Caenorhabditis elegans: one gene and its partner. The protein of the gene in region 1 purifies or fractionates together with the protein of each later gene. This does not show direct contact. Each region holds a gene or a part of one and is shown on either strand. Other genes may lie near its edges. The genes, in order: famh-136 and F42A10.6.

Region 1 (5,010 bases):
TCTATTGAGCTTAATCGTAAGATCAAAAAAAAATTTCCGCAGAAAAATGTACCAGCACTATTATTGGTGAGAATTTTTCTAAAACATAAACAAAATATGAACATTTTTGCTTCAACAATATTGCAATTTTTAATAAATATTTTTTACCTAAATTCAAAGTTGGAGGATATTTTTCAAGTAAAATAAGTATTCTGCCAATTAAAAACTTTTAGTGAAATTCAAAATTTAAAAAATCTAACTTTCTAATCAACTTTCTAAAAACCATATTCACAAATGCATTCAACAAATATTATGTTAATAGTATGTTTAAACGTTTCCGGTCGGGTCGTGACAAAGTCAAAAACATTGGTAATTGAACAAAACATTCCAATTTCAAAATGTTTTTATGGCTGCAGTTATTCAATAGAATACTCAATAATATATTTCGCTAAAAAATAATTGGAAATGTAATTTTTATTCAAATAATTTTTTTCAACAAACAAAAAAAATTTATAGTTTTTTTTAAATTTAAAATCACATTTTTCAAAAAATTTGTAAAGCTGTTTGCGGGGAACAGGAGGGAGGTGGGGATTACGAAACAAACATGAAATCGATGTGGTTAAGCCGGGAGACAAAATGACCCAATAATTTGTCCAATGACGTGGATGTGTGACACCAAATTCAGAGCTCAAAGCTTCAAACGGAAAAGAATAAAAACCAGGAGAGTTGCTCCAGATTCAGAGAGAGAAAGACGTCTCCATATATGACTCTACGTCTATTCATAATGCGCACTGTCTCTCTATTTGGCTCAGCTGAGCATCATTGGCTTCGAAGCAGTAGAAGAAAGCCGAGAAATGGAAATGGAGGAGGTTAAGAGAGACAGAACGTGTGAGAAAGAGAGAGCGAGAGGGACAAAAATGAAAAGTAGGCGGTTTAAACAAACAAAGAAAAACACAAGGAATATCGGATCGAAAGGATGCTCCGAGGAGCAATATTCGGGAAAAAAAGGAGCTCCGGTTTCAGAATGTCACTTCTGAATTTGGAAGTGTGACAATTCAAAAGAATTAGTATAACTCAGCGGCCCGATTTTTGTACCAAAAATACGGTCTCGACACGACAAACTTTTGTTAATTGCAATTTAGCTGTAAAATGGTGTGCGCCTTTAAAAGAGTACTGTAATTTCCATTCCCAAGTTGTGAGAAAACAGGAGAAAAACGAATATTTATTAAAACAGGAGAAAAAAGATCAGAAGATTTGAGTATTTTGTTTGAAATAACAACAAGTTGACCAAATTATTTGTTTTTTTAGTTTTCAGAAACAGTTTTGTGAATGCATTTCATGAATGGTTTTTGTGTCAAAGCAACGTTATAATAAAATTTAAAAATAAAATATTTTAATCTCTATTTATTATAACGTATTGATTTTTACAAACACTTTACTATTTATAATACAATTACTTTCTTGATTTTGGGATTTTCTTGAAATTTGCAATATTTTCGCAATATTTTCGGAACGACATTTTGAAATCTCGACATTTCACACAATTTTTGCATGTAAACGTTGTATTTGCCACCGTTTTAATTGATTTCTCTCAATTTTAATTTCAGATTCATCAACTACAGTATACTCGCCTTTGACTTTCAAGCTCATCGAGAAGTGCGCCAGCTTCGCATAATCAAGAAGTGCGTCAGCACTCGACTTGCGCAATTCTTGTCAACTGATATGATTTCTTTTTGTTTTTTGGTTATTTTTTGCGCGTTCTTTGTGCTTTTCGTTTTTTTTTTGTTCGTTGGTTTCTTTCTTTAATGAAACGAAATATTTTATTTTAGTTTAGACTTCCAATATATAGAATAATTAAATTGCATATAACATGACGAAAGGAAGTATAATCTGGGATTATAAATTTTGAGCTTTAGCTATCTTCCTTTATCCTTTAATTCTTGCGTCATTCATAAATGACATATCGTTTACTTTCGAAAATTGATTTTCACATGTCCGTTAACAATAAATAATTTAATTTTATAATACTTTTAGGGTAAATATGTCAAACTCAACGATGGAGGCTACTCAAATGAAAGTAAAGCTGGCTGTCGATGAGATGATTGACGATTTGGATAAGACCTATTTGAGGGATATGCAGAAGAGCATGTTTCAGTGCTCAGCTCGGTAATTATTTTCGAAATTACACTAAATATGTTTAGTAAGCAATTTGTATTACGCTAAACCACCTGAAAATGTCTAATTTAACTTCGCAATTGAAAATTTTTTGCATTATTTCAGGTGCTGTGACAACAAGAAAACCACACGCGATGCTGTCGAGAACTGCGTTGAAAGCTGCAACGATGGCATGAAAAAGGCGCAAGGCTATCTTGAAAAAGAGCTCGGAGGGCTTCAAGACCAGCTCTCACGCTGTGCAATGACTTGCTATGATAAGCTTGTTCAACAGTTTGGTCCAGATGTCAATAAGTATTCAGAATCACAGGTGTGAAGATTTATTAAATTTTAGAAATCAAAAAATTTATAAATTAATTTAGGATTTAAAAAATCAACACCCGAGGGGGCTCATAGCTCACAGCTTTTGGTGGAACATTTTTTTGGAATTAAAACAAAAGTATATACAGTGAAAAGCTAGTTTGGGTTGAAAATTAATTTAGTTTTGTCGAAGAAGAATTTAATAGAAATAAGATTTAAATTATAAATCATCCATACATTGAATCGTGAAGCTCTTCAAGATTTCTCTGTCTCTCCTCCTCCTCAACTTCTTTATCAGTTTTGACCTTCTGACGGCATGTTGGGCAAGTTTGTTGAGCTTCAAGCCATAGAGTGAGACAAAAATAATGAAAGCGATGTTTGCATGGCATGACGATAACTGTGGTTCCGAACGTTGTTGGATCAATTTTTAATTCCTCTTTGATGACATGATCTTCAGGAATATCGACGTTGTTTTGCAAGTTATCCAAACAAATTGCACAGGTTGCTGAAAAATAGATTATTTAGGCAAATAGTCAGCATTTTTTCTGAGTGTTTTTTTTTTCAAATACAAGCTTTGCTCAATTTTAATAGTTTCTCATACCATCTTCTTTCTGTTGATCTGTAGTCTCTCGATCCATCAGTCTCAGCGCTTTATATGATTTTTTGTCAATTGGCAAACTTCCAACATTATACAAATCCAGCCATCTTTGCATCGCATCTGTTTGTGAACCAGTACCTTCCGCTCGCATTCCTTAATTTAATATATAATTTGAATGCTTTCTCATAAAATAACTTACTGACGAAGATGGTTTCGAGCATATGCGAAAAAGCTCTAATAGCGTCTCTTTCCGACATATCTAATTGCCAGATAAAATATTTTAAGAAATGACGAGAGATATGGTGACAAAAGGAAAACGTACTTACGCAAGTGCAACGAAAAACGTGCAATTCGTCGTAACGGTGTTTGCGGATTTTTTGCGTGTCTGTCTCGCACTCTCCATTCTTTCATCACGAGTTTTGATGACTATTTATGCAAATTTCGGGGGTTTATGAATCACCAATCAAGTGCCACGCTGTTCATCGATTTTTAGTTTTGTATTACTTTTGCTATTTTAATAGTTAGACCCTCATAAGATTTGTATCGAGGGGTGTTTTTTTTTTAATGTAACATTATGAAATCTAAAATGATTCATTTTCTTTTCTATTCTTTCTGTCGTCTCTAATTAATGATAATTATCAATTTGGTAGAAATTTAGCGATCGCTAAAGACGCACGGTATTATTCAGAAGGGTCTCGGCGCGGAAAAAAGTTTATGGTAGTTTTTAATATTTTTTGCAGCTGCTTTTCCTTACATTTTTCATTGCAATTACCTCGATTTTAGCAAATTTTGCCTTTTTTTAAAACATTTTCATGTTAAAAATTGTTGTAAACCAGTTTTTTATTAAAAATATGTGTTTTTCTGTTTTTTGGCGTGGAAGAAACAGAAAAGTGAAATATATTTTCTTTACGCGCTGAGCCCCATCTTAATAAATTCCGTGCGCCTTTAGCAAGGCATGGCAAAAATATTTATAAGACACATTTCTGTGATCCTAACGCCTCTGATTTCTCACAAAATTAAAAAAAAATTGATCAAAAATTAAGAAAATCCTCGCATTTCAGAAGCTCAGTTTCAACGAGAAGCTCGATTCGTGTGTCTCTGTTTGTGCTGATGATCACATCAAATTAATTCCGGCAATCAAGAAGAGATTCGCGAAAAATACCTGAGAGCCAGCCACACATTTTCCACCGAGTATTGCCATATCCCCTCTTAATTTCCCATTTATCAAAAAAATATCCCATTTAGGCGTATTCTCCACTCATTAGGCTCCCTCATTGTTGCTCACTATTATATCATTATTTTTCTTTCATACTTTTTTAATAAGTTTTCATGCATTCAGTCATAAAATCTCTATCCCAATTGATTTAAACTCTCCTTAAACGTTTTGACCGTATTTCATACTTTTTCCACCGAACTTATTCTCTTCAAACAAAACAACGTTCAGGTACTATGAAAAAAATATTACCGATCATATGGCTCATCAATTTGGTTAGTGGAAGCCTATCACTCGAGAAAAAAGCTCCCGATTTACTTGGAAAAGTATGTGCATTTGGAGATTTCAATGCAGATCGGAATACTGATATTCTGGTTTTTGCGAATGGAACATTGACGATTAATTATCAAGAAACTAAACTTCTTGATGTGGTTAGTTTTTATTTTTTCTTTTGTTGAAATTTCACATAAAAATTTTGAAATTTTCAGCTCGAAGCTTCCAAATTCACACCAGGAACATCGTTTGCCATCAGTAAACCCAGCCTGAATGCAGATTTTGTTGAATGTTCAGTTGGCGATTTCAATGGAGACTCTAGGCTTGATGTTTTGGTGAGTTTATTGAAAACATTGTCATTTTGCTTCATTGAACTTGAAATGCCCCGAAAAACGAAAAATTTCGAAAGAAAAACCAAATTTTAGCTAAAATCTACATTTTGTCATGTTTACAGCGGCCGGAAATTGATTTTTTT
Region 2 (3,399 bases), 2.7 Mb from region 1:
TTATTTAAGGCCACGAACGGTTTTATAATTTCACCATTTATTCGTTTCAGTAGAAAAATACAGTTTAGCCGAACTCACGCTGTAGGCAGATCGTCATGATGTACACCAAGATTCATTTTAACTTGGGCTCGAGTCTAAACAGAAGTCCGAGCCTGATCCTACGCTTCTTAATAACCAGTTCCCCAAAGTTATTCTACTTGCATTCTACTCCCTTATCATCACTACTTATCACCATTTCACCATTCAAAACTGTCATTTTTTTCAATGAATTCTTGAACTTTCAGCCTCTCACAATGCTTCTCAGGTGTGTCATTCTCTCAGTTCTTTGCATCGCTGCCACTTCTTTTGTTCTCCCAGTTGTCGACAACTTGGCAGACTGTGCTGCACCAAATGGAACCGACAAAGTGATGCACTGGTGGCAGTGCTCATCTGGACCAGTTCAATTTTTGAATGCTACTCCATACGACTCTACCGGAAAACAATACGAGTACCCAATTCATTTGAGTCAGCCAATTGTTGTCAAGACTCAAATCAATAACCCAACGAGCACATATGTGTCGCCAAATCTTCGTAACACCGTCAATATCTGGAAGTATGGAGGATGGAACGGATGCACATGGAGCTCAATCCCAACTCTCGGTCTTTTGTAAGTTTATATCTTTAAGTTAATTCTAATGGATTAGAATGGGTGAACTGTTTAGGCTATTCTCGACTTCTAAATAATAAATAACGATTCATCTTCCAGGAAGGACCTTGACGCCTGCGCAAACGGAGTCCCATGCCCAGTCCGTCCAGGAAACCAAGAACTTGACGTCATCATTGACTTCACCAAGTTCGACCAAATCATCGCCTTACTCAAGGACAATCAGCCATATCAACTCGAGTACATCCTTCACGACAACCAATCCGGAGACACCTCATGCATGATGGTCCAGGCTTGGGCCTTCCTTAAGTAAAATGCTTTCCCATTTGGCGATTGGCTTTAAGATTTCTAATTATATTTGCACTATAACACGGGCGTATATTTTAACAACAATAAAATGTACATAATCTTGACTTTTTGTTGGTTTTTGTTCATTATCAATTTGAAGGAAAAATTTCCGAAATCGAACTAAAGTTGCGATAACATTTTGATAAAAAAGAACTATTCGCACTGGAAAATGTTGCATATTTGCCATTTTGGCAATGAACCAAAAATCAAACAAGTAAACAAGGAATCAGAAATTATTAATAATTTCCCGATTCAGTTATAGTTTGAAAACTGAGAAATTTCAATAAGTACCTAAAGTTGGAAGTATGAAGAATACGTGCTTGCACAGGTTTTTTAAAACTTTGTCTTTCCTTCAATTCATCGGATTTAATGATCAAAATAGAAGAAGAATATAAAAATCGCATAGACGTCAAAAATGAAAATTTTCTTCATATCTTATGAGTACAACGAGTTACTTTACCACGCGTCAATTTCTTAGGCCTCCATTGTATCATAATTTTATTTTAAAAAGCTTGGAATCAGTTATTCATTGTATTAGAAAAACATGGTGCAGTAGCGGCCTTCATATTGACACGTGTTACAGTAACCCGCTTTCCGCGTGGCGAGACCCATTTGCGTAAATTATGACGGAAACTCTCATCTTCTGACGTCTACGTAATATTAAGACGCTGATAAAGCTAAAGTTGCTGAACAAAGTAATGAAAAATAAAAATGTATGGTACCCAAGTTTTAAAGGCGCATAGCACGAGTGAGCAAAATTTTCAATCGTGGCGAGACTTCGAAAGGTGCATTTCTCAGGAATACTCAATATACATATGAAATTTTTTCAATGAAAATGAGTACTTCCTGTGGATATTTCCGGTTCTCTGTGACCTCTTTTTTATTCTAGAATCACAATTACATGCAAAAAACTATTAAAACGCGTGGTTTCTTCAAATTGCCATGTGCTTTGATATTTCTCTTATCGTAGTTTTTCCTATCGAATTTGATGATCATTTTGCAATTTAGTTTTCCATTTTCTCAAATTTCCCAGTTAACCAATTACAGATTCACTATTTTATTCCAACTTAGATCACATCCACTAGCTTTCGAAACGAAAAATTCTACTTCAATTCCAGATGCTTGCTCGTTGTCTGTGTCTCTTCGCCCTACTTGCTCTCTCGTCGGCATGCGATCAATGGCCGAATACTACAGAGACAAAGGTCAACTGGTGGCAATGCTCAAATGGACCAGTTATGGTGACCAATGTTAATCCAACTGATAAGAGTGGTTCGCAAGTTTTCTGATAGTTTCTACGAATGTATAATTGAATCCAGGTAACAGTGAATATCCAATCCGTCTTACTGAACCACTTCTCATTGCAACATCCATCAATGATCCATCCTCAACTTATACTACTCCTGGACTTAAACAAACTATCAAGGTCTGGTCATGGAATATGGCTACTTGTGGATGGTCTTCAGTACCAACTTTTGGACTTTTGTAAGATTTTTGCTTCTTACAGTAACCTACAGTAACCTTTTCCAGGAACAACATCGATGCTTGTACCAACGGAGTACCATGCCCAATTGAACCGAAAAACAAGGTCATCAATTTGGAACTCGACTTCTCTGATACTCCAGCTATCATCAATCTTCTCAAGGTTATTTTGATGTGTATTCTTCGAAAGTTAAACCCCCAATTTCAGAACGATAAGCCTTACCAACTCGAGTATCTTCTTCATGATGACCCGAGCAAGGAAGACCTTTGCATTATTTTCCAGGCTAGAGCTCTCACTCATACTTAAATTTTGAAGTGAACAATTTAATAAAGCAATAAACTTTTTTCTCAACAAAAATTATAAATTGAATTCTTAAATAGTGTAACAAAACGTGGAAACTGGGTGAAATATGGGAAACAACCGAATGCGAAACAAAACAGGAAAAATTTAGGCAGTGAGTTGAAGCTGCTTGTAGACTTGCTTTCTGTATTCTTCGAGTCCTCCCTCCAAAGTTGTCACCATTCGATCCTTCACAACCCAAAGTTCCTTGCACACAAGCTCGATGAGTTGCTCGTCGTGAGAAACTAAAACGACACCTCCATTGAAAACATTAAGCGCTTTTCCAAGAGCTTCAACCGTTTCGACATCCAAGTGATTAGTAGGCTCGTCAAGAATCAAGTAGTTTGGCCTGAAAAATACTATGAATTAGACGGAGTTTGAATAAATTTTTTTTTCTAGGAAAAAATGAATATTTTTTGAAAATGTTGCTATTTTCAAGCAAAACTCACTGCATCAAGGCTAAATTAGCAAATGCCAATCGAGACTTTTGACCTCCAGAAAGTGTCTCAACAGATTGCAAAGCCATATCACCAGCTAATCCAAATCTTCCCAAAGCTGCTCGATAATCTTCTTGAGTCTTTCCAGGATG

Evidence for each region.
Region 2: the proteins of famh-136 (region 1) and F42A10.6 fractionate together in Caenorhabditis elegans (co-fractionation; one large-scale study listed by BioGRID). This does not show direct contact.

What each region holds. Positions count from the first base shown.
Region 1 is NC_003281.10:8,885,738-8,890,747, forward strand, and holds famh-136 (FAM161 homolog famh-136), read left to right. Parts: upstream 1-2,013; 5' UTR 2,014-2,020; coding exon 2,021-2,145; intron 2,146-2,259; coding exon 2,260-2,461; exon of another isoform or gene 2,462-2,678; coding exon of another isoform or gene 2,679-2,956; intron 2,957-3,052; coding exon of another isoform or gene 3,053-3,202; intron 3,203-3,248; coding exon of another isoform or gene 3,249-3,306; exon of another isoform or gene 3,307-3,419; intron 3,420-4,110; coding exon 4,111-4,215; 3' UTR 4,216-4,406; downstream 4,407-5,010. Other genes in the region: putative RING finger protein ZK637.14, read right to left, coding at 2,679-2,956, 3,053-3,202, 3,249-3,306; lnkn-1 (Protein linkin), read left to right, coding at 4,499-4,693, 4,751-4,870. UniProt on the Caenorhabditis elegans protein: May play a role in locomotion and behavior.
Region 2 is NC_003281.10:6,175,572-6,178,970, reverse strand, and holds F42A10.6 (MD-2-related lipid-recognition domain-containing protein), read left to right. Parts: upstream 1-2,109; coding exon 2,110-2,260; intron 2,261-2,307; coding exon 2,308-2,473; intron 2,474-2,518; coding exon 2,519-2,633; intron 2,634-2,678; coding exon 2,679-2,777; 3' UTR 2,778-2,814; downstream 2,815-3,399. Other genes in the region: F42A10.7 (MD-2-related lipid-recognition domain-containing protein), read left to right, coding at 294-646, 746-956; abcf-3 (ABC transporter domain-containing protein), read right to left, coding at 2,919-3,159, 3,260-3,399.